Pelodiscus sinensis: one gene and its partner. The protein of the gene in region 2 purifies or fractionates together with the protein of the main gene of each other region. This does not show direct contact. Links are inferred from orthologs where the notes say so. Each region holds a gene or a part of one and is shown on either strand. Other genes may lie near its edges. The genes, in order: RAB3A and SYTL4.

Evidence for each region.
Region 1: the proteins of SYTL4 (region 2) and RAB3A purify together in Homo sapiens (affinity purification with mass spectrometry; 3 studies listed by BioGRID and IntAct, counting the BioPlex papers as one, with this or other methods). This does not show direct contact. The link is inferred for Pelodiscus sinensis from reciprocal best matches to the Homo sapiens genes SYTL4 and RAB3A.

Annotation. Positions count from the first base shown.
Region 1 is NC_134729.1:20,222,787-20,234,828, reverse strand, and holds the start of RAB3A (ras-related protein Rab-3A), read right to left. Parts: upstream 6,361-12,042; 5' UTR 6,202-6,360; intron 1-6,201. UniProt on the Homo sapiens protein: The small GTPases Rab are key regulators of intracellular membrane trafficking, from the formation of transport vesicles to their fusion with membranes.
Region 2 is NC_134723.1:4,978,102-4,990,143, forward strand, and holds the start of SYTL4 (synaptotagmin-like protein 4), read left to right. Parts: upstream 1-5,196; 5' UTR 5,197-5,332; intron 5,333-5,340; exon of another isoform or gene 5,341-5,513; intron 5,514-5,550; exon of another isoform or gene 5,551-5,681; intron 5,682-11,151; exon of another isoform or gene 11,152-11,306; intron 11,307-12,042. UniProt on the Homo sapiens protein: Modulates exocytosis of dense-core granules and secretion of hormones in the pancreas and the pituitary. Interacts with vesicles containing negatively charged phospholipids in a Ca(2+)-independent manner.

The DNA of each region.
Region 1 (12,042 bases), on a different chromosome or scaffold from region 2:
GCTTCGGCGTCAACGGTGCACGCACGCTGGGGACACACATGCATCATGCGCCCACGCTGAAGCTCGGGGTGCTAGTTCCTCACTGCTGTTTTTAGCCACGTGTGAGTGCGCTGCAATCACACCTCCAAGGGCTGCATTGACGTGCCCTCCGGCAGAGCCGTCCGGACCCACAGGCAGAATAGGCCCCTGTGTTGGGCGCCCGAAAAGTTGGGGCATTGCTGGGTCTTAATGTCTCCCCTCCTCCCCATCTGCCTCTTCCGATTCCTGCTCTGTGACTCAGACCCTCTCAGGAGGAAGCAAGTTAACTGAAAAGTTAAAATCCAGCCAGAGATCTGGGAAAGAGCCAGTCAGGTAGCAGTGAAGCCCCAGAAAAAGGCATGTGTCAGCTCCTGGGATAGCGTGTCTGTTTCTGATAGAAATGTAGCCGTGTTAGTCTGGTGTAGCTGAAGCAAAATGCAGGACAATGTAGCACTTTAAAGACTAACAAGATGGTTTATTAGATGATGAGCTTTCGTGGGCCAGACCCACTTCCTCAGATCAAATAATGGAAGAAAATAGTCACAACCATATATACCAAAGGATACAATTTAGGGACAATTGGACAAACGTCTCAGACACTTCGCCAAAGAATCAATGCCCACAAAACAGACATTAGACAGGATCACAAAGAAAAAACAGTGATAGAAATGTAGCCGTGTTAGTCTGGGGTAGCTGAAGCAAAATGCAGGACAATGTAGCACTTTAAAGACTAACAAGATGGTTTATTAGATGATGAGCTTTCGTGGGCCAGACCTGAGGAAGTGGGTCTGGCCCACGAAAGCTCATCATCTAATAAACCATCTTGTTAGTCTTTAAAGTGCTCCATTGTCCTGCATTTTGCTAAAGAAAAAACAGTTGCTTGTCATTTCAACCAGAAAGGACACTGTCTGAATGACCTGCTAACCTGCATCCTACTTCAGAAGACATTCAAATCTTCACTTGAAAGGGAATCCTCTGAACTGGCATCCATGCTAAAATTCGACACTCTCCACAGAGGAATTAACAAAGACTCCAACTATCTTACCCATTACAAAGATAGCTTCCCCAATTATCACCTCTAATACTATTAACTCACAGACATCTTTCTTTCCCCACCTCTAATATCATTAACTCACTGGCATTCACCTTCCTTCCCCCCCCCCCGCCCCCCCACATCCCCCCTCTGTTCTGTAATGTGATTTGTCCTTTTCATGTGTGTTCACTTTTTTTTAAATTGTATCCTTTGGTATCTATGGTTATGACTATTTTCTTCCACTATTTGATCTGAGGAAGTGGGTCTGGCCCACGAAAGCTCATCACCTAATAAACCATCTTGTTAGTCTTTAAAGTGCTACATTGTCCTGAATTTACTGGGTTAGTTGACCAGACTTTAGGATCAAATTTGCTTTAAACTATTTCATAGTGTGTTGCTGAAGAGGGTAAAAATCACGTCATCTCCTGCCCAGCTACCACCAGGCAAAGGGAACTGTAAATCCTAAAGACAGCTCTGCCCTCCAGCGACCTAGGTAATTGTCACACGGGGGCAGCGCTCCTGCACCGACAGGAAGAACTCTTCTGTACACGGAGGCTGTTTCTACCCCAGCAATGGGCACCCGAGGCTAGTGAGCCTCCATCTCTGGGCCACAAGATTGCTGTAACCAAGACGGTCTTCCGGAAAAGGGTTGTTTTGCTCACGGCGCTTGCGGGCCTGGCATTTGCAGGGGGTGCCGACTGAACCGTGGCAGCGCTGTGATTGGAGGCAAAGGGGGTGCACGGCTCTCCCAGTCAGTGCGGTGCGTAATCAGCCTGCACCCCACGTCCCATGCCTTTGCTTTACGTGCGTGTTATGTTAGTAACACCAGTAGGAAAAAACAACGTGGACAGAAACCGCGGAATCCGGCACCCGCGAGCGACGGTAAACAGACGGTCTCACGGGCCATGTGTAGAACCCCGAGGGGCTGCATACAGCCCCCAGGTTGCCCACCACGGAGCTGCACTATGGGGCCATAACGACACCGCTATCCCCCCTTCCCAGTGTAGACATGGTTGTGCTCCCTAACTCCTCCCTGCAGAGCCAGACCTCAAAGCTTTAACTCGTCTCTCCAGGGGTTGTGCGTTGGCACAGTGCTTAGCACAACTGTGCCCAGCCTGGCTAAGGCCTTGAGGGACTATTGCAATGTAAACAGCAGAACACCGCAACTGAGCGGAGACCCAGCCCTGCCAGAGGGAGGTAAAGGAGACACGTGAAGGGTGCAACCCCCCCCCCCCAGCAAGATCCCCCAAGGAAGCATGCTCCAGCTGGCTAGGGGCAGACAAGCCTCCCTCCTCCATGCTCTGCCCGGCCGGGGGAAGGCTGGGGCTCATATCCCTGCTTACTTGGGGGGCCATGGGGGTGCATTCACACCTTTGTGGTCCACATTTCCAAAAAAAGCACCCCTCCACCTGAGGTGAATACCCTGGTGCCCGTCCCAAGGCCCCTGTGCACACAGGACCCCTGCAGCTCCGTGGAGGATGGGGAGGAGAGAAGGGATGTTTGACAAGACCTGCTCTGGGAATGATTCTGGGGCCCGTTTTCAACACTAGATGCCTGCAGGAGATTCCAAGGCCAGAAGGACCTAGGGAGAACCTGCCACGAGCCTTCCCAGGCTGATTGGAGACCCCCCTGCCCATGTGCCTCAAAAGGTTCATCAGGGACAGCCCCTTGACCCCTCTGCAACCCTGGGGAAGGGGTAACCCTACACTTTCCAGCGTGGGGAAGAGTAGGAGGAGATGCAAGAGCACCTTCCTGAATTTGCAGAGACCTTTCCAATGCCTCTGCTGCAGAGCCCGGTTCTTCTCCAGCAGCAGACGAGGCCCGTCAGTTTCAAGCATTTAGACTCAGCACCACAGGGAAACTCAAGAACAAGGTCATGTTCCTGCAGCAGGGAGGGCACCAGACACGAGATGGGAAGAAGAACAGCGGCACCCCCCCCCCCCCCCCCCCGCCTGCAATGGGCAGGAAGCTCTCCAGATGAGCAGACCCTGGCTGATAGTTCCAAATCTCTGGGAACGTTTCCCTAGCCCTGTTTATAAAACAGAGATTAGATTCCTCTTCGCCTGTCGGGAACGGCTAAGATAGTCCTTCGTCCTGCCGTGAGGGCAGGAGACTGGACTCGATGTCCATTCCAGTCCTACGATTCATCTGAGTAGTACCAGAATGCACAGCAGCATGAGCTATTAGCTTCCAGATTGAAGTATGTGGGGTACTGCCTGCAAAGGGGTGTACAGGTTTTCGCCCTTTACTGTCTGTTTTAAGGTCATCCACAAAGGAATTTTTCCCCCTCCTCTCTGTGAGAAATAATATCAGGAAACGTGACCTTACAACCTCATTCATATTCACTGCTGGGGAGAATCCTGCTTTGATTCTCTAATCCCATTTCCTGTACCTTTGTTTTAGTCTTTCATCACTTGATATTCAAGCAATATGGTGACAGGCAGCAGACCCAAAGGAAGAGTGCACACAATGCAGTGTGCATTAGATGCACAAGGCAAAATTGAGCAACTAAATTTTTGAGGGCAAAATTCACCCAGAAATACAGAGCCACTGATTCCCATTGTCAAACGGGGTTTATAAACTCACCCAGGAGGATTTATTTGTTTGACACATGCGGTCCCGAGTCTAAAGACACCCAAAATAGGGAACAGTGGGACTTATTGGACTGGGCAGTTATGACTGTGCATACATACAGTCGGGAAGTTTTAATGGTGTACTGAGCTGGAAGCACAATTCAGAGTTGTTGGGGGTTTTTTTTGGGGGGGGGGGAGAGAAAGAGATAATTTCCAGCTAAGAGAAATCGGCACTGCTCCATTTCTTGAAAGCCGAACAGGAGAAAACCTCTGAACATGTGGTTTTCACCACCCTCTGTATGAATAAATCCTGTTTACACTGCCACTCTGTCAGCAATCCAGATCCAACGGGAACTATGCAACCCAGCTAGTCACTTAACCCATTTCAACAATGTGCAATTTAACTCAAATAATGGTCCTCGACATAATATTAGTCATTTGGCCCTTGGGGACCAAGTTCATATTTACAGAAACATTTTATTGCTACATTAAGCCAGTCGCTTAGTGAAAAAGCTCCTCCAGTGCATTTTAATTACAGTACTCAAAACCGATATGCAGCTTTGCTGTATGTTGTCTCCAAGCCTTTGTATTAGACAATCCGCAGAAGAACACAACCCTCCCATGACAGGCACACGCAGATCCCAGCCCCCAGGAGAAAGGGAAGGAGATTCCCTACAAGTCCCGCTGCCCCCCGACTTAGTGTGTGCCACCCAAGTAAAAGCAGCTCTCTCCTGCCAAGCCCCAAACCAAGACACATCTGAACAAATCCCACCCTATGGGACACAAGAGAAGGTACAATGCCGACAGACTTGGAGCAAAATGCAGGACAATGTAGCACTTGAAAGACTAACAAGATGGTTTATTAGATGATGAGCTTTCGTGGGCCAGACCCACTTCCTCAGATCAAAATTTTGATTTTGATCTGAGGAAGTGGGTCTGGCCCACGAAAGCTCATCATCTAATAAACCATCTTGTTAGTCTTTCAAGTGCTACATTGTCCTGCATTTTGCTTCAGCTACCCCAGACTAACACGGCTACATTTCTATCACTATTCGACAGACTTGGAGACAGACTCTGTTTCTGTAATGCCCCTGGACAGAGCACTAGGGGCCCTTCTATTTGTCATGGGTCTGTGGCAAGGTTCTCCATAACGTCACGGCATCCTGGTGTAAAACAACAGACACTGGTCACCTGTGCGGAGCCAGGCTTGGGGTGGAGGCAGCTTTGGGTTGATAAAGTCTGAGCATTCTCCTGAGCTAGGCAGGGCACCTTATGTAGTGAGGGAAAGAGGACCCAGGCACTACCTAGGACCTGGGCATGGAGGATCTTTCAGGAGCTAATGTTTTTCTGAGGGAGGTAGCCGATACGGACTGAGACAATCAGTTTTGTTCTGTAGTCTGTCATGTCGAGCTAGCAGGGTTCATCATAATGTTGTACCAGAAGCTTCTGCCCTAGTAGCGAGCCCTATTCTCCAGCTCCCTCGCTGTGTTTTTCTGGAAATTTCATTCTTTGCGATCACCTACGAAACACCCCTCGCTGCAGGCAGGCCACCCCGTTCCCTGGCTCACCTTCGCCACGCAAGCGTCACGACAGCACCGCCGCCCAGGCAAACAGTCGCTCCCCCCCACCCCATCCATTTTGCTATTTTAAAAGCAGCAGTAGGCACATGGGAAGTGAATTATGCCACCCTTCAAAGCGTGAGCAATGCAGTAACCTTATACACCACCGCACTGGACGGCCAACTCGGTGGCATGCTTGGTTGGATGCGTTAATAAATGACTGTCAGAGGCGGAGGGGTGGAGTGGATGCAGGTGGATTCAAGCTATTCAGTTGCCTGAGTCTCCGCCTTGCCATCAATCATTCATATTAAAACATCCTTAACCAGCAGCAGCATCAGTTAGCATCCTCCCCCCCCTCCCATCACTGGCAGAAAAGGCTTCATGCACAGAATGGCTCCTCTGGATCTGTTATTCTTCCAGCCCCAGTCTTCTGACCTGGCACCAAAGAGAAAGGTCTCAGCTAGGGCCGAGGGTCCCTATTCGGCTCCCTGCCCCTCCAGGCTTCCCCACCTCCCCAGCGGAGAAAGCACCTTTGCAGGGCTCGGCAAACCACTGGGATGGATGCGGGGGATGCAAGCCCCGACAACGGCCCATCACCTCCACTCCAAGCCTAGGAGAGGCAGGAGGCCACGCCAGACGCGCAGCACAGGTGGGGGGGGGGGCGGAAGCTCATTGCACGCAGCCCCCCCGGGCGGCCTGAGACGGAAATGGATGCAGAAGGCTGATCATACCCCCCCCCCCCTCCCTCCTTGCAGAGGGCAGGGCTGTGTGCTTGCAGCAGCCGGAGCGATTTGTGTACATCGCCCCCCCCCCCATTGCTTTGCTAGGTGCACTCAGCATCCCCCCCCCCCCCCCCGCCCAGCAGCAGGGACCGAGCACCCTGCTCGCTTCCCCCCTGCGCTCCGTGCAGCCACGAGCCCCTCCCGGCGCATCACCCCCCCCGCAGGTGTCAAATGAAGATTATCGCCCTGCACGCGGGGGCACCCGGGGAGGAAACGGGGGGGGGGCGCGCGCTCACCTCCAGATCGCGCTCCCCGGGCTCCTCTTGCACCAAATGCAGCAGCAGCGCGCGCGGCCCCGGCAATTGCAGAGCCCTGCTGACGTCGCCAGCATTCCAAAGGGGGCGGGGACCGATATGCAGATGACAGAGTGACGTCAGGAGGCCGGAGACGACCCATTCCGAGCTTCTCCTTCAGGCTCCTCAGGCAGGGGCGGGACTCCTGCCCAGTCCTGTGCTTCTATTGGGCTCGCACTAATGATTGACAGCCCACGGGTGCACCTATCGGTCCTTTCGCGGGCCCACCGCCTCCAGCCTCCTAGGGAGGCCAGCTGGCCTGGTTCAATGGCTGTCATAGCCACGTGACGTGCCCCCCCCCCACCATGGGGCAGTGGTACGAGCCACCACACTTCATCTCCTTTATCAAGATCTATCCCACACCTCCAAGGACAAGTGGTATGAGCTGGTTCTCACCCTCGCCACTGTCATGACAGGGCACCACCCTGCACACGGGGCAGTGGTATGAGCCAACTCACACCATGCAACAGACCCGCCACAGCAAGCCAGCACACATCTCCCTGTCACAACAGTCACCCCCCCCACAAGGGATAATGGTACAAGCCACCATATGCCACCTCTTCTGTCACAGTTCCCACCTGCCTCCAGAGGAGATAGTGGTACAAACCACCTGAAGCTGCTCCCCCTTACATGTCATCCCCCCCATGGGACCGTGGTTCAAGCCACCCCAGGCCTGCTCCCCTGCTTCCCCCGTGGGATGATGGTACAGGCCAGCCAAGGCCCACCCTCCTATCTGGACATGTCATCCCCGTATGGACTGTGGTACAAGCCACCCCAGCCTGCTTCTCTGTCCTGATGTGTCATCCCCCCTGTGGGATGGTGGTACAGGCCGCCCCAGGCCCACTCCCCTGTCCAGACATGTCATCCCCCCCATGGGGCAGTGGTACACGCCATCATAGCCTGTTCTTCTATCGCAACAAGTCATCCCCCCGCAGGACGGTGGTACAGGCCACCCCCTATGTCCAGACATGTTATCCCCCCAGAGGATGGTGGTACAAGCTGTCACAGCCTGTTCTATCTCAACATGTCATCCCCCCACAGGCTGATGGTACGGGCTGCCCCAGGCCTGCTCCCCTGTCCGGACATGTCATCCCCCCCATGGGGCAGTGGTACAAGCCATCATAGCCTGTTCTTCTATCGCAACAAGTCATCCCCCCGCAGGACGGTGGTACAGGCCACCCCCTATGTCCAGACATGTTATCCCCCCAGAGGATGGTGGTACAAGCCGTCACAGCCTGTTCTATCTCAAGATGTCATCCCCCCACAGGCTGATGGTACGGGCTGCCCCAGGCCTGCTCCCCTGTCCGGACATGTCATCCCCCCCATGGGGCAGTGGTACAAGCCATCATAGCCTGTTCTTCTATCGCAACAAGTCATCCCCCCGCAGGACGGTGGTACAGGCCACCCCCCATGTCCAGACATGTTATCCCCCCAGAGGATGGTGGTACAAGCCGTCACAGCCTGTTCTATCTCGACATGCCATCCCCCCACAGGCCGATGGTGCAAGCCGCCCCAGGTCCACTCCCGTCCTGACATGTCACTTTTGGGAGGCAGCTGGTGTTGAGGGAGGCGTCACATGGCCAGCTCCCGGGGCTCTGCTGGTCACCTGGGCCAGAGCAGCCTGCACTCTGCTCCCACCCCAGATCAGCACCCCCTAGTGTGGCACCCAGGAACTGCCCCCTCCTGCCTCCGCTGCCACTCTGCTGTCAATTATAAAATCATGAGTGGTGTGGAGAGGGCTGATAAAGAAAAGTTATTTATTAGTTCCCATAATAGAAGAACTAGAGGACACCAAATGAAATTAATGGGTAGCAGGTTTAAAACTAATAAAAGAAAGTTCTTGTGTTGTCAACCTGTGGAACTCCTTGCCAGAGGAGGCTGTGAAGGCTAGGACTATAATAGAGTTTAAAGAGAAGCTGGATAAATTCATGGAGGTTAGGTCCATAAAAGGCTATTAGCCAGGGGATAAAATGGTGTCCTTGGCCTCTGTTTGTCAGAGGCTGGAGAGGGATGGCAGGAGACAAATCGCTTGATCATTGTCTTCGGTCCACCCTCTCTGGGGCACCTGGTGCTGGCCACTGTCGGTAGACAGGATACTGGGCTAGATGGACCTTTGGTCTGACCCAGTACGGCCGTTCTTATGTTCTTACGTTCTTATGCTGCGCGCCTTACTCCCCCGCCCCTGCCGGACGCGGCAGGGGAACATTGTCCCCGCCGGGCTTCCATCCCAGGGAAACAGGAAATACCGGACATTGCACATGTCACATTGCACATGTCCGGTATTTCCTGGGTATTTCCTGTCCGGGTGAATACTGGACACCTGGCAACCCTACCCCCCACCTGCTCTCCAAGCTGGGGAGGTCTATGGCCCCTAACCTCGGTCACTTCCATTTATCCCAACCTGGGCTCCTGGGAGAGCTAAGCGAAGTGTTTCAGGGGAAGGTTGCCCTGCTGGGTCACAGCCGCCCTGAGCCCTGCTCCTAGGGCCAGCACTGCCTGGGACAGCCTCTGGCTTGGCTGGTCCCTGAGGCCCAGCCAGCGGCCTGTCCCAAAGGGCTCAGGCGAACCATGGGGGGGATTAGATGGAAGCACCGTATGTCACACATGCTGCTGTTTTCAGCCGCAGCGGCTTCAGGCAGTGAGTCCCCTGAGTCACAGCCCAGCTCACTTTACCTGCCCAAGAGCCGGGAACAGCACCCCCTGAGTCACCCCGGAATCATCTCGTCACCTCCAAAGCATCAACTGGGGCTAGGAGCAGTCCCCAGAGAACATGGGGCCCTGCAGCCGCTCAGGAGGGTCCCCCCAAAGCAGGCTGGGAAACAACGCAGCACAGAGCATCCCGGGGGCGCCATTGAGGGGTCAAGGGCTCCACCCCCCCAAAAGTTGGAGTCTCTAAATTTCACACTTGAGGTCTGCTTCAGTTTAGAAAAGAGGAGACTGAGGGTGTGTCTAGACTACATGCCTCCTTCGACGGAGGCATGTAGATTAGCCAGATCGGAAGAGGGAAATGAAGCCGCGATTAAAATAATCGCGGCTTCATTTAAATTTAAATGGCTGCCCCGATCTGCCGATCAGCTGTTTGTCGGCAGATCGGGGGAGTCTGGACGCGATGCCCCGACAAAGAAGCCTTTCTTCATCGGCACAGGTAAACCTGGTTTCACGAGGCTTACCTGTGTCGATGAAGAAAGGCTTCTTTGTCGGGGCATCGCGTCCAGACTCCCCCGATCTGCCGACAAACAGCTGATCGGCAGATCGGGGCAGCCATTTAAATTTAAATGAAGCCGCGATTATTTTAATCGCGGCTTCATTTCCCTCTTCCGATCTGGCTAATCTACATGCCTCCGTCGAAGGAGGCATGTAGTCTAGACACACCCTGAGGGGGGATATGACAGAGGTCTATAAAATCATGAGTGGTATGGAGAGGACCGATAAAGAAAAGTTATTTATTAGTTCCCTAAATAGAAGAACTAGAGGACACCAAATGAAATGAATGGGTAGCAGGTTTAAAACTAATAAAAGAAAGTTCTTCTTCACATAGCATGTAGTCAACCTATGGAACTCCTTGCCAGAGGAGGCTGTGAAGGCTAGGACTATAATAGAGTTTAAAGAGAAGCTAGATAATTTCCTGGAGGTTAGGTCCATAAAAGGCTATTAGCCAGGGGATAAAATGGTGTCCTTGGCCTCTGATTGTCAGAGGCTGGAGAGAGATGGCAGGAGACAAATCGCTTGATCATTGTCTTCGGTCCACCCTCTCTGGGGCATCTGGTGCTGGCCACTGTCGGCAGACAGGATACTGGGCTAGATGGACCTTTGGTCTGACCCAGTACGGCCGTTCTTATGTTCTTATGTATGTGCAGAGCTGTGCCTGGGGCTAGGCCAGGGGTTTTCAAATTACAGATCGCAACCCAGGCCTGGGTGTTTGGCGCTGGGTCTCGTAGCTGCAGGGGGATCTGGTGAGCAGCGGGGGGAGCTAAGGCAGCTCGGCACCGCAGACTGCGCTGCGCCCCAGAAGCGGCCGCAGCAGGCCCAGCTCCTAGATGTGGGGGGAGAGCATCCAGGACTCAGTGCACTGCCCCTGCCCTGAGCACTAGCTCCACACTCCCATTGGCTGGGAACCTGCTGCCGGCTGCTTCTGGGGGCAGCATGGTCTGCGGTGTCAGGAGAGACAGGAAGCTGTCTTAGCCCCCTCCGCTGCCCGGGAGCCGCTCAAGGTAAGTCCCACTTGTCCTACCCATGACCCCCGCAAAGCCGGAGCCCCCTCCTGCAGCCCAAAGCCCAGCCTCAGCCCTGCCCCAGAGCCTGCACGCCAGTCACATGATGTCGGGTTGTGGCATCAGCGATTTTCTTCAACTGGGTCATGAGAAAAAAAGTTTGCAAAGCGCTGGGCTTGGAAATGTGTTTCAACCAGCTTGTGCTGCTCCCAGCTTTGCCTTTGGGGCAGGGGATTGTTTATAGCCACAGGGAGGCAGGGTGATTAAGGTAACAAAGGGCTTGTCAATGAACTTGCAGGGCGACTCAATGCCGCCCACAGGTGGGAGCCAAAACAAAAAAGTCGTCAATATAATGGTCTTCTGATGGGATGCCTTTTAGTAGTTAAATTCCTGGACTGTCATTGCTCATTAAAAGTGCTGTCACATGGGTAGAAATCGGGGAAATATCGCATTTTAGTAATAGCAGCAGAAGTGACTTAAATGGGGCTTGCATGTTGTGTCGTCTTGCCTTAATCTTTGTATTTATGCCCGTCAGTGTGAAAGAAACAATTTGCATATATTTGCATATATACTTGCACGTTTATGCAACCACACTTAAGTTGCAGGCCTCGGCATGTGCTGTGAGTATCATTGGCAGGGCTCGACAAATCACTGTGGGTGAGTAGATTTCAGCTGGTCGCTCCGTTCGCCCTGTTCAAAGGTGCTGTGTGCATGCACAGTGCCGGTCTGGCGCATGCGCGGTGCGGGGCTGGCGAGTAGAGCTTGCCGCGGTTTGTCGAGCCTCAATCATTGGGATGGTCTAGACAGTACTGGGTTCTGCCGGGAGAGCAGGGGACTGAACTCGATGACCTCGCGAGGTCCCTTCCCGTCCTAATATTCTATGAGTCTATGACTGTCACCCTCAGGGCTTCCAAAATTGAGTGGCCATGAACTAATGGAAGGCTCTTTAGATGATCAGGAAAACATTGCCAGATACGCCACTTAAAAGCTAGGAAACAAAGGGTAGAAATAAACAGCGTGCGCCAGGGGGGCGGTGTTGGGACCAGCGCTGTTCAACTTATTTATAAATGGCTTTGAAAAAGGGGAAAGCAGCGAGGTGGCAAGATTTGCAGACACAACAGGACTCACAGTAGTTAAGTCCATAGCGGACTGCTAAGAGTTACAGAGGAACCACACAAACCTAGGAGACTGGGCAACATAAAGGCAGATGGACTTCAGTGCTGATAAGTACCAAGTAACGCACATGGTAAAATATAACCCCAACTATACCTATACAAATGGCGGGGTCTAGACACTCTGTTTTCCAGAGACTCGGTAGCTCTTGGAAAGACGTGAGGTGTCTCCATCCCTCCCTCGCCCTGGCCGCCCCAATGTGCTGCTGGGCTTGTACTGAGCATGCTCAGTGACACTGCTGAAGCTGTTGTCCTCATATTGCCTCCCCCCATGCCCTCACTCTGCCCTCCCCCACTATCACCGCATGCTCAGCTCGCCCCCCCCATCTGAAATGATGCCCCTGGAGGCTGGCCTAGGCTGGGTGAGGCCTTTCCGGTCTCTAATCGCTAGTGTTGCATGG
Region 2 (12,042 bases):
CCTTTTCAAGGGATGCTGATCAGAAAGAAATACAGTATCATCTCCATGTTAAATCAAAAAACAGGACTATGTAGCACTTTAAAGACTAACAAGATGGTTTATTAGGTGATGAGCTTTCGTGGGCCAGACCACTTCCTCAGATCAAATAGTAGAAGAAAATTGTCACAACCATATATACCAAAAGATACAATTAAAAAAAAGTGAACACATATGAAAAGGACAAATCAAATTTCAGAACAGAAGGGAGATGGGGGAGGGGGGAAGGTAAATGTCTGTGAGCTAATGATATTAGAGGTGATAATTGGGGAAGCTATCTTTGTAATGGGTAAGGTAATTAGATTCTTTATTCAAACTCAGGCGTAAAGTGTTGAATTTAAGCATGAATGACAGTTAAGAGGATTCCCTTTCAAGTGCAGTCTTAAAAGGTCTTTGAAGCAGGATGCAGGTAATCAGGTTGTTGAGACAATGTCCTTTCTGGTTGCAATGGCAAGAAACTGTTTTTCCTTTGTGATCCTGTCTAATATCTCTTTTGTGGGCGAAGTGTCTGAGACATTTGTCCAATGTACATAGCTGACGGACACTTTCGGCACATGATAGCATAAATTATATTTCTGGATGCGCAGGTTAGTACTTGATAATCCCCCATTCAAAGCTTGCATTAGCCCTCTTACCATCGCATCAGTTTGCGAGGATTCATATATTTGGTTGTCCGGTATGATCTCTGAGTCCTTTAGGGTGTGTCTACACAGCAGCATAATTTCGGAATAACAGCCATAAAATAAATATGAAATAACAGACGGCTTATTCCGACTTCTGTAAACCTCATTCCACAAGGAATAACGCTCATTCCAAAATAGCTATTTCGAAATAGCTGTAGTGTGGACGTTCCACTGCTGCTATTTTGAAATAGCTCCTCCCCAGGGCCATTCAAACTAATTACTCTCCAGTGCCTGCTAAGGCTCTAAATGGACATAGCACATCCACATTAGGGGAGCCTGCCTCGGACTAATTTTGAGGCTTCTCTGTAGTGTAAATGCGCTATTTTGCAATAAGCTATTTCAGAGTATTTCTTCTGGAATAGCTTATTCCTAAATAAGTGTACAGTGTAGCCGTACCCTTAGTCTTCCTCTTTCACACCCCCCATTTACATGGACTAGTCTAGGGAATGCAGAGCAGAATTCAGATATGTGAGGTCCCAAGATTAGAATTGCAGGGGGCATTGGTCTGTGTGTGCATGTGTGCACAGTTGTATATCCACAGTAGACTATCTGGGCTGCAGCATGTCAGAATTACCGTGTGCTAGGAGAGTGGTGTGTAGGCCCAGGACTGCAACTGTGATGATCGGGGGTGATGTGGGGGCGGCCAGAGAGAAACAAGGCCCGTGTGAACTGTAGGCTCACAGTGGAGGAGACTCAGGCGGCAGTCCCCACATAGACGAGCAGGCAGCTATCTACAAGGTGTGACCTGATAGGCTGTAGTGGTTGGGCCCACGTAGCTGTAATGTTCTGAATATTAGAAATGTCTCCTGGGTTAAACTTTTTTCAGTCGCTTAGGCTATGTCCACACTCGCGGCTTCTTGCACAAGAAATATGCAAATGAGGCTGAGCGTGGAATATCGCCGAGCCTCATTTGCATACCTAATGAGCCGCCAGTTTTGCAGAAGAGGCTCTTGCGCCAGAGGTAGCTGTCTACACTGCCCCTTCGTGCGCAACAGAAACCCTCTTGCGCAATGCTGTTCTTCCTGAAAAGTAATTGGTGTAACAGCATTGCGCAAGAGGGTTTTTGTTGCAAAAGAAGGGGCAGTGTAGACAGCTCCTTCTGGCACAAGCGCTTCTTCTGCAAAAATGGCGGCTGCTTAGGTATGCAAATGAAGCTCGGTGATATTCCACGCTTAGTCTCATTTGCATATTTCTCACGCAAAGACGCCGCGAGGGTAGACATAGCCTTACTGTGTCTTGTTGTATTGTACACTGGCTGTGCACTAACGTGATCCTTCTTTACTGAGTAAACTGCATGTCCCTTCCTAGGAAGGAAATACCTACATTTTCTAGATTTAGGAAAATGTTTACATTTAGGACATTCCTAAATAGGAACTAGAAGAGTGTATTGGACTCCCCTCCCAGGGTTAGAATTCACAATGCAGATCCCCACTTCTTTGAGTTTGATCTTCTCTGACTAGGCTGACGGAAGCATTCACTCCCCTCACAACATGAAAAAATGCATCACTCCTAGCAGTATTGGCTTGTGTGTGCTACCTTGGATTGCCCAACAGTAGCTCGAGGTGGGAATATGCTGCAGGTCAGGATTAAGATTAAGCGGCGGGCGGGCCCCAATACTGGATTAGCAGTGTGGTTGGAGATCAGCAGCAAGGTGCATTGGCAGTGCTGTGTGTGTGTCAGAGCTGACACCTGGCTGGCCTGCTTCGTGCCTGGCTCCAGACAAGTCCTGCCTGTCAGCCTCCTTCAGCATCACAGAGCAACTGTCAAACCCAACCTCATGCAAGGCTGTTCAGGCAGCTGCTGCTTGGTAGGATGGGTGTTCGGGGGAAAGGGGTGAGAGGGAAGCTCTGCTGTGTCACCTAAGCAAATGTTTACTGAGCAGCCATGCTCCTGAGAAGTGTCAGACACCCCCAAATCGTAATAATTGCAGGTATTCTGTATTGCTCAGGATTGGGCCCACAGCACAGCCCTTTTCATTATTGCTAAGATGGGGGGACATCCTGTTAGGGGCTCAATGTGAGTCTTTCTCAATGTGAGTGAGTTTCAGGTTGTGCGGTGTGTTACTGGGGCAGCTTTTCACCCCAGGAGAGGGGCTCAGCTGTGGCTCAGGGCAGGCCACAAAGAAAAATTAGTGGCATGGTTCTTGGCATGTGCTTAGAAATATTTGTTCATATGGCAGCAATCACCACACACAACCGGGGCAATGCCAGACAGGTCCACATTGCCCAGTGGCCTGCACCAACACTGGCCACCCCCAGCATCTGCAAAAAGCCCCAGAGTAGACAATTCAGAAATAGCCTTCCTACGGGTGTCTCACCAGCAAACTGAGTTCATTGTTGGCTTATATCTTTAGAAATAAGTTCATATCCCTTAATTTATGAAATCCTTTCATCGAACTGGATACTCTCCTTGTCCACATTCATGTCAAGCTCTTTCCTGTCTTGGAGCAGTGAGTTCCACAGATGATTATGCATCACATAAATAATGCATTTCCTTTCATCTGTTTTATATTTGCTGCTTTTCAGTGTCATTGACTGCCTGCTTGTTCTTGCATTGTGGAATGGGGTTACTGGGGTGGGGGTTGGAACAGGGCAGGCGTTGGCTCAGGGTGGGGCGATACCAGGGTTGGGAGAATGGAATAAGGCAGGTGCTGGCTCCGCATGGGGGTTACTAGGGCTGGAACATCGTGGGGGTTGGTTCCGGATGGAGTTTACCAAAGTGTGTATGGGGGGGCTGAGGCAGGGTAGGGGCTGGCTGAGGGTAACGGTAACCGGGGCAGGGTTGGCTCAGCATGGGAGTGACTTGGACTGCAGGGGCTGGAACAGCTCTGGGGTTACTAGGGCGGGGGCTGGGGGGGCTGGAATAGCTCTGGGGTTACTAGGGCGGGGGTTGGGGGGGCTGGAATAGCTCTGGGGTTACTAGGGCGGTGGTTGGGGGGCTGGAATAGCTCTGGGGTTACTAGGGCGGGGGCTGGGGGGGCTGGAATAGCTCTGGGGTTACTAGGGCGGGGGTTGGGGGGCTGGAATAGCTCTGGGGTTACTAGGGCGGGGGCTGGGGGGGCTGGAATAGCTCTGGGGTTACTAGGGCGGGGGTTGGGGGGGCTGGAATAGCTCTGGGGTTACTAGGGCGGGGGTTGGGGGGGCTGGAATAGCTCTGGGGTTACTAGGGCGGGGGCTGGGGGGCTGGAATAGCTCTGGGGTTACTAGGGCGGGGGTTGGGGGGCTGGAATAGCTCTGGGGTTACTAGGGCGGGGGTTGGGGGGCTGGAATAGCTCTGGGGTTACTAGGGCGGGGGCTGGGGGGCTGGAATAGCTCTGGGGTTACTAGGGCGGGGGTTGGGGGGCTGGAATAGCTCTGGGGTTACTAGGGCGGGGGCTGGGGGGCTGGAATAGCTCTGGGGTTACTAGGGCGGGGGCTGGGGGGCTGGAATAGCTCTGGGGTTACTAGGGCGGGGGCTGGGGGGCTGGAATAGCTCTGGGGTTACTAGGGCGGGGGTTGGGGGGCTGGAATAGCTCTGGGGTTACTAGGGCGGGGGCTGGGGGGCTGGAATAGCTCTGGGGTTACTAGGGCGGGGGTTGGGGGGCTGGAATAGCTCTGGGGTTACTAGGGCGGGGGTTGGGGGGGCTGGAATAGCTCTGGGGTTACTAGGGCGGGGGTTGGGGGGGCTGGAATAGCTCTGGGGTTACTAGGGCGGGGGCTGGGGGGGCTGGAATAGCTCTGGGGTTACTAGGGCGGGGGTTGGGGGGCTGGAATAGCTCTGGGGTTACTAGGGCGGGGGCTGGGGGGCTGGAATAGCTCTGGGGTTACTAGGGCGGGGGCTGGGGGGCTGGAATAGCTCTGGGGTTACTAGGGCGGGGGTTGGGGGGCTGGAATAGCTCTGGGGTTACTAGGGCGGGGGCTGGGGGGCTGGAATAGCTCTGGGGTTACTAGGGCGGGGACTGGGGGGCTGGAATAGCTCTGGGGTTACTAGGGCGGGGGTTGGGGGGGCTGGAATAGCTCTGGGGTTACTAGGGCGGGGGCTGGGGGGCTGGAATAGCTCTGGGGTTACTAGGGCGGGGGTTGGGGGGGCTGGAATAGCTCTGGGGTTACTAGGGCGGGGGCTGGGGGGCTGGAATAGCTCTGGGGTTACTAGGGCGGGGACTGGGGGGCTGGAATAGCTCTGGGGTTACTAGGGCGGGGGTTGGGGGGGCTGGAATAGCTCTGGGGTTACTAGGGCGGGGGCTGGGGGGCTGGAATAGCTCTGGGGTTACTAGGGCGGGGGCTGGGGGGCTGGAATAGCTCTGGGGTTACTAGGGCGGGGGCTGGCCCCGCATGGGGGTTCCCAGGGCAGGCTCAGGCTGGGGCAGGGGCTGGCTCAGGGCGGGGGTCCATTCCCGGGGCGGGAGGGGGGCGCTAGTGACCCCGTGCGCGCTCCACCCGCTGCCCCCGGCCCGCTCCCTTTCCGTCGGGCGCAGGTGAGTGGGGCGCGGCCCCTTTAAGGCTCAAGCCCCGCCCCCCGGGGGGGAAAGTTTCAGCCGGGCCGGCAGGCGCCGCAGGTAGCGCTCCGGGCCCCGCCCCCGGCTGCTGGGAGCCCCTGGAGCCGGGCGCGGCGGCGGATCGGGGCGGCGTCCGCAGGCAGGTCCCGGGGCCGGGGTGCGGGAAAGGGGCCCCCGCCTGACGCTCTGCCGGCCCTGCCCAGGGAGCCGGCCCCGGGCCCGCTGGCTGCGAGCCGCGCTTCGTGGCGCTGCGGGCGCGGCTGGGCTTTGGGAGAGCGGAGCCCGGCTGGCTGCGGACGCGTTCCCCTCCGGAGCGAGTGGTGAGCGAGCGCTGGATCGCTGTGGCCCGTGGGAATATGGGCAAGTGGCTGCAACTGCTGGAAAATTTCAGTGGTTCCATGGTTAAACCGGCTCCCAGCGCGCCCTGACTCCAGCCTGCCAGCCTGCTCCCTGCTCCCGGCGAGCCAGCTGCTGTCTCGGATACAGAGGTAGCGGCGCGGGGTGACAGCCGGCTCCCCCAGTGCAGAGGTAGCGGCGCGGGGTGACAGCCGGCTCCCCCAGTGCAGAGGTAGCGGCGCGGGGTGACAGCCGGCTCCCCCAGTGCAGAGGTAGCGGCGCGGGGTGACAGCCGGCTCCCCCAGTGCAGAGGTAGCGGCGCGGGGTGACAGCCGGCTCCCCCAGTGCAGAGGTAGCGGCGCGGGGTGACAGCCGGCTCCCCCAGTGCAGAGGTAGCGGCGCGGGGTGACAGCCGGCTCCCCCAGTGCAGAGGTAGCGGCGCGGGGTGACAGCCGGCTCCCCCAGTGCAGAGGTAGCGGCGCGGGGTGACAGCCGGCTCCCCCAATGCAGAGGTAGCGGCGCGGGGTGACAGCCGGCTCCCCCAATGCAGAGGTAGCGGCGCGGGGTGACAGCCGGCTCCCCCAATGCAGAGGTAGCGGCGCGGGGTGACAGCCGGCTCCCCTGGAGCAGAGCTGCTGTGTCTGATACAGAGGTACCAGCGTGGGGTGACAGCCGGCTCCCCCAGTGCAGAGGTAGCGGCGCGGGGTGACAGCCGGCTCCCCTGGAGCAGAGCTGCTGTGTCTGATACAGAGGTACCAGCGTGGGGTGACAGCCGGCTCCCCCAGTGCAGAGGTAGCGGCGTGGGGTGACAGCGGGTTCCCCCAGAGCGGAGCTACTGTGTCTGATACAGAGGTACCAGTGTGAGGTGGCAGCCAGCTCCCCCAGAGTGGAGCGAGAACCTGGGCAGAGCCGTGAACGTTAACCAAAATGTGCAGGGTTATTTGTTAACCGTAAACTTTACATGGTTAAACGGTCACATCCCTAGGGCAGGTGGTGCAATCCCTGTGATGCGCGGTGTGTGTGTGTGTGTGTGTGTGTGTGTGTGTGTGTGCATGGCTGCTTAAGCTGGTCCAGAATCTGCTCCCATTCCCTAATTGTTGGTTTCTAGCCCTGGGGCAGTTCAGGGAGGAGAGGAAGACTTGCAGCTTGTGTTGGGCGTGGGGAGTTTGTTTCCCTATCTGTTCAAGGGCCCCTGGTATCTTACACAGCAGTCCCAGGCTTCCTGCTGCAGGAAAGGGCCATGACTCTAATAACTCAGGTCCCTGCTTTGTTCTGCTTGTGGGAGGATGCATTCATTTCTATCTATGAGGCGAATGTCCTGTCATGAAAGAAGGAGGGCTGACATCTACCCAGATAGAAGCAGTATTTGTCTTACATGCTTGGACAGTGCTTGGTGTGCATGTGGAATCATAGCTATCGGACTGTTGTGTTGAAAGCTTCTCCACTTGATAGATGCAGGTAACCTTCCTCCAAGTCACTTTCCTAATTAGAAAACCTTAAACAACGAATAGTCTAGTAGCACTTTAAAGACTAACAAAACATGTAGATGGTATCATGAGCTTTCGTGGGCACAACCCAATTCAAACCTTCATCCATTTGCAAATATTTTCTCCCTTTGCCAGAGGTGTTCCTGTGTTGTAGCACACTGGGAGACCGGCCAACTTCAGATGGTGCAAGCAAGGTGGATTTGTTTACAGGTGCAGAGGGGTGTGTGTGTGTGTGTGTGTGTGTGTGTGTGTGGGAGTGTGTGTGGTTGGTATAACTTCTGTGGTCAGAAGGTGTAAATTGGAGAATTTCAATTCACACCTTGCAGTCACTTTTGTGTTATCCCTTTGCCATGCCATACGTCAGAAGCTTGAATCTGAGGACCCAATCCAGAGATTGTGTCGAAGCGGGTGGAGGGGTGGAACAGCTTTCATGTGAGGACAGATTAAGACAACCAGGACTGTACAGTTTAGAAGAGAGACTTCTAAGTATGGCTCTGATAGAGGTCTATAATCATGACTGAGGTGGAGAAAGTGAATAAGGAAGGGTTACTTACCCTTGGGGTAACCCATGAAGCAGGTATCAATGAAATTTATAGGCTGAATATTTAAAACAAAAGGAAATGTGGAAGTCAACTTGTGGAACTCATTGCTAGGGGAAATTGTGATGGCAAAAGTATAATGGGGTTCAAAAAAAGAATTAGACCAGCTTGTGGAAGATAAGTCCCTCAATGGCTATTAGCCAAGAGAGTTGGGGCCATGCTTTGGGTAGTCCTAAACTTCTGACAGTTGGAAGCTGGGACTGGATGGTAGGGGATGGATCATGTGATAAATTGCCCTGTTCTGTTCATTCCCTCTGAAGCACCTGACACTGGCTGCTACTGGAAGACAGGATACTGGGCTGCGTGGACCCCGTATGTCGGCTTGTCTGACCCCGTATGTTCATTCTTACAGTCTAAAGCCGTGGTGTCCAATGTGCTTGCTATCATGTCTGTTGCTTCAGAACTGGTTGGACGCCACGGTTCTAAAGGGTCTGGGTTACGTGTAGGAAAGTGAGAGTTTCAAGTCCAGCTGTTGTAATGCATATGCAGAGTGGATTAGAAGCAGGTGCGATCTAAAGAGGTAAGCCCTCCCTCTGTATGAACCAGAGTTGGCCCCGAGTGTATGCACTTAAACGTAGGCGAGGGAGGGTTCTTGCCTTTCCTATGCAGTTCCACATACAGAGAAGCTGGGCAGTCCCAGACCTTGTGTGGAAGTAAGGCAATGCCAGACACTTGGTTGGCTTCCCCTGGGTTGAAGGGAAGCCGTCAAGAAGCCGTGGAGCTGTGTAGCTACAGGAGAATAGAGCAGTGGCCCTTCAAAACTGGATTGAGATGGCTCTTTGGAGGTGGAAGCGGGTGCGTCTGAGTCCGGTTCTGGAGGGTGCAGTGTTCCTAAGGAAGAATCAAACTCCCCTCCCTTCACCCAGCAGACCAAGGAGCAAGCATCGGCGGGGGAGAAGGAGGGTTGGAAGTGTAGTGAGCAGAGAGCATATGGCTAGGCTAGGGGAGGTCCCCTTAGAGAGAACTGGCTTCCCATCAGAAGCAAGAGCTTCCTCAACTGGTTCAGCTTCATTCTTTCTCTTCCTGGTCACTGGGGTGTAAGCCGACACTGCACAGCGAGAGGAAAGGGAGCTGACCTCTTTGCATGGCACTCCTGGGCTTATGCAAAACAGCCTCCACTGCTCTGGCCTGGGTCCTTTCCCGCATCTGAGTGTGACCGTTCCATCTTCAAGTGGTGGCCCTTCTCAGCAACCAAAGTTTGGAGCAGGGGCCCTGGCAGTGAATGTCAGGGAGGATACTGGAATAGGTGGGACCGCCACGAACAAAAGAGCCTTCTGGGGCAGCTGCGCTAACGAGAGAGCTCATCAAACTCCTCAGAAGGAAAGATTCAACGTTCCTCTGTCTGGGTGCATGATTGGCATCTTAGTGTTAGTCGGAGCAAAGATCGGTCCGGACCATCTCCGGATCACCTGAGGCCAAGACGAATACTCCTGAATATAGAACAAAAAGGGAAAATGCTTGTCCCTCTGCACACCTGCCTTAGGACACCTAAGTAATTTAGAAAAGCCAATTCTAAACAAACAATCTAAGCAACTTCCATCCTCTCCCAGCCTGGCCAGTGCTCCAGCTGGCCTAGGAGCTGCTGCTGTTGATTTTCCTCAGATTTAGGACTTTAGGCAGCCATCAGACCAGAGCTTCTCTGTGAGGGAAAGTGCCACCTTGGAGTTGAAAAGGAGAGACCAGATGAGGGCATCCCCAAAGCCTGCTGATTGTGGGAGAGTTGAGGGTGTTTATTCAGCCCTTGGGAGCCCAAACCTTATGCTGCAGTAAATGTGGAAATGGCCAGCCTAGTTGTGATTTAGAGAGAGCCCAGATCTACATCCTGCTTCTTAGATCAAATCCCAGTAGCTGATACGGACTCGGAGCAAGGTGTGAGTTGGAGGATTACATTCTGAGTAGGACAGTGGGCATGGAGTAGGAAATGAATCGGCGTGTACAAGCATGTTGCTGGCAGGGAGACTGGCGTTACTTTGCTTGTTTCTGGATGCTCGATCTAAGTGCCGGTCGCTGGGGTACGAGGCTTGCCAGGATAACCAGCAAACTGCAAGTTGTGAAGTAAGAAGTGCACCTCGAGGGTCCAATCCCTGACAGGGCAGAGAGATGGCTTCAGTCAGGCTTGGTAGTTCAGATAACCCACTTACGCTCCCTATTGCTTTTGTTCTTATTGCTGCTCTTTGTTGCTTTCCTTTTAGCACCCAGATTCTAGCTTCTTGCATGTTTGTAGAGCAAGGCTGTTTAAAGGAACAGGGACAGTTTAAAATTCACGTTACGTTTCTTACGAACCTAAATAAAGGGCATCTTGGATTATTAAAAACGGAGTTTTAACTGGTTTTCAATGTTGTTTTGCTTGAACAATGGCCAGTTGATCAGTTTCACTTGCCAGTTCTCACATGCATTAGCACAGTACTGGGAACCAAAGGGTGATGCTTTTTAAACGTTCCTGGCAGCGTTACTAGTGATCTCAGAATCTTGTAAAAATCTTTCTCTTTTTAATGAAGAAACAAAATATTGAAGCCAAATCCTTTGTCTTTGACACCACCCTTTTGCAGTGGAAATGGTGGGCCTTTTTAAAACTACTACAGCACACTTAATAGACTGAGAAGGGGACTAAGGAACCAGCAAAGATGAGTTCTGTAGTAGAAGTGTCTCTTTAGAGTGCTGAGGTTTGTTTGACCTTTCGTTAAAGAGGTGGTTTACAAAATGGGGTGAGAATTTTTTTCACACCTGGTAAGTTACAATCTAACAATGCAACCTATTTTTGCTTAGTGTCTTCAATACGGAAGATGTACTTGTCTATCTAGGGCAGTTAACGAATGACTTGCTCTGTCTTGACTTGTGTTCTCGAGTTCATTCATAGGTAGGACCACACTAAATTCACGGTCCATTTTGATCAATGTCATGGGCATAGGATTTAAAAAAAAGTCATGATTTCAGCTGTTAAAATCTGATATTTCACCTTGATGTAATTGTAGGGGTCCTGACCCCCAAAAGAAGTGGTGTATGTGGCAAGGTTAACGTAGGGGGGTGGTAGTACTGCCACCTTTCTGCACAGCTGCTGGCAGTGCTGCCTTCAGAGCTGGGCAGCGGTGGCTGATGGCCAGAATCCCAGTTCTGCAGGCAGACCTGCTGCCAGCAGCAGTGCAGAAGCACAGATGGCAGGATAGGATACTGCCACCCTTAGTTCTATGCCGCCCTGAAGGCAAAGCAGAAGTAAAGGGGACTCCCTCACCCCTTCAGCTCTTTTGATCAGGGCTCTCAATCTGAGAAATGCGAGCCTCCCCATGAAATCTATGTGATATAGGGTAAACGCACCCACAAGGTCCGGGATTCGTTTTTCGTGGCCGTGAGTTTGTTAGGGCCCTTTTCATAGGCAAAGCCGAAGGCCCGGGTTGGCTTTCTTTTATATTTCAAAACAAAACTTTAACCCCCCTACCCCAAACACGTTTGAGCTGGAACGGAATGAGATTCGAGACCGCCTTCCCGGAGTCCTGGCCACCTGCTCCCACGGAATCTCTGAAGTCCAGCCCAGCTGTAGCCATGACAACCGAGTGTGATGTCATCTCGGAGGCAGGAAGGTCACTCCGGCAGCATCGGGAATGTGAACTTCCTGCAGGCAGTGGGGAAAATGCACCCCGGGAGAAAGCAGGGGTCCAGACGAGGAAATGAGCCAGCAAGGCTCGGCGTGAGCCAGGCAGGGACGGCGCTCGCGCTGCTCTCAATAGCCGTGTCTGCTTGCTGTCGTGTGCCACGCAGCCCCCGGGAGCCTGCTCCTGCCATGGGGGAGGGATGATTCCGAAGGCTCTTGCTTGGTGCTTTGCTGCCGTGATTCTGCTGGGCTGAGCTGGGACAGGAAGTGACCTAGATATGGGCCTAGATTTACAGAAATCGTGCTCATGGCAGCTTATAGAGGGGCCTGATCTTTTTGTTCGTTTGCCTTCTCTGGGCTCAGAGGGGAGTCTCGTAGGCCAGGTCCTCACCTCCATGGAGCTGGGGAGGGGTGTGGGGCTCAGACTCTTGGGCAGGTGCCAGCAGGGAGGAGCAGTGCTATAGCTCTGAACTCCAGTCCATCCTGCTCTTCCCTCCGTCGGCCCCCTCGGTCTGGACGCAGGCAGGAAATGCCAAGCGCGCTGGTGGAATGACTCAGCCACTGGATGGTTCCACCGAGGCTCATTAAGGCCACGTGCAGGGAGCCAGGTGCTCCCAAACACGGAACCTTGTGTATTGGGCACTGGGCGGGCCGGCTCCTAGGCCAGGGCAGGATGCCGGGATCCTGCTGTTGTGACTAATGCACGGAGCACCGGGGACTCCCTGCAGCCTCGCTTTGAGGTGGGCCCCACGGCCGCAGTGAGGGGCAGTCGGACGACTGGGGGGTCAAGGCGTTATTGCTTCGTACAAATCCCCAGTGGGTTACGGGACCCCAGGCACTT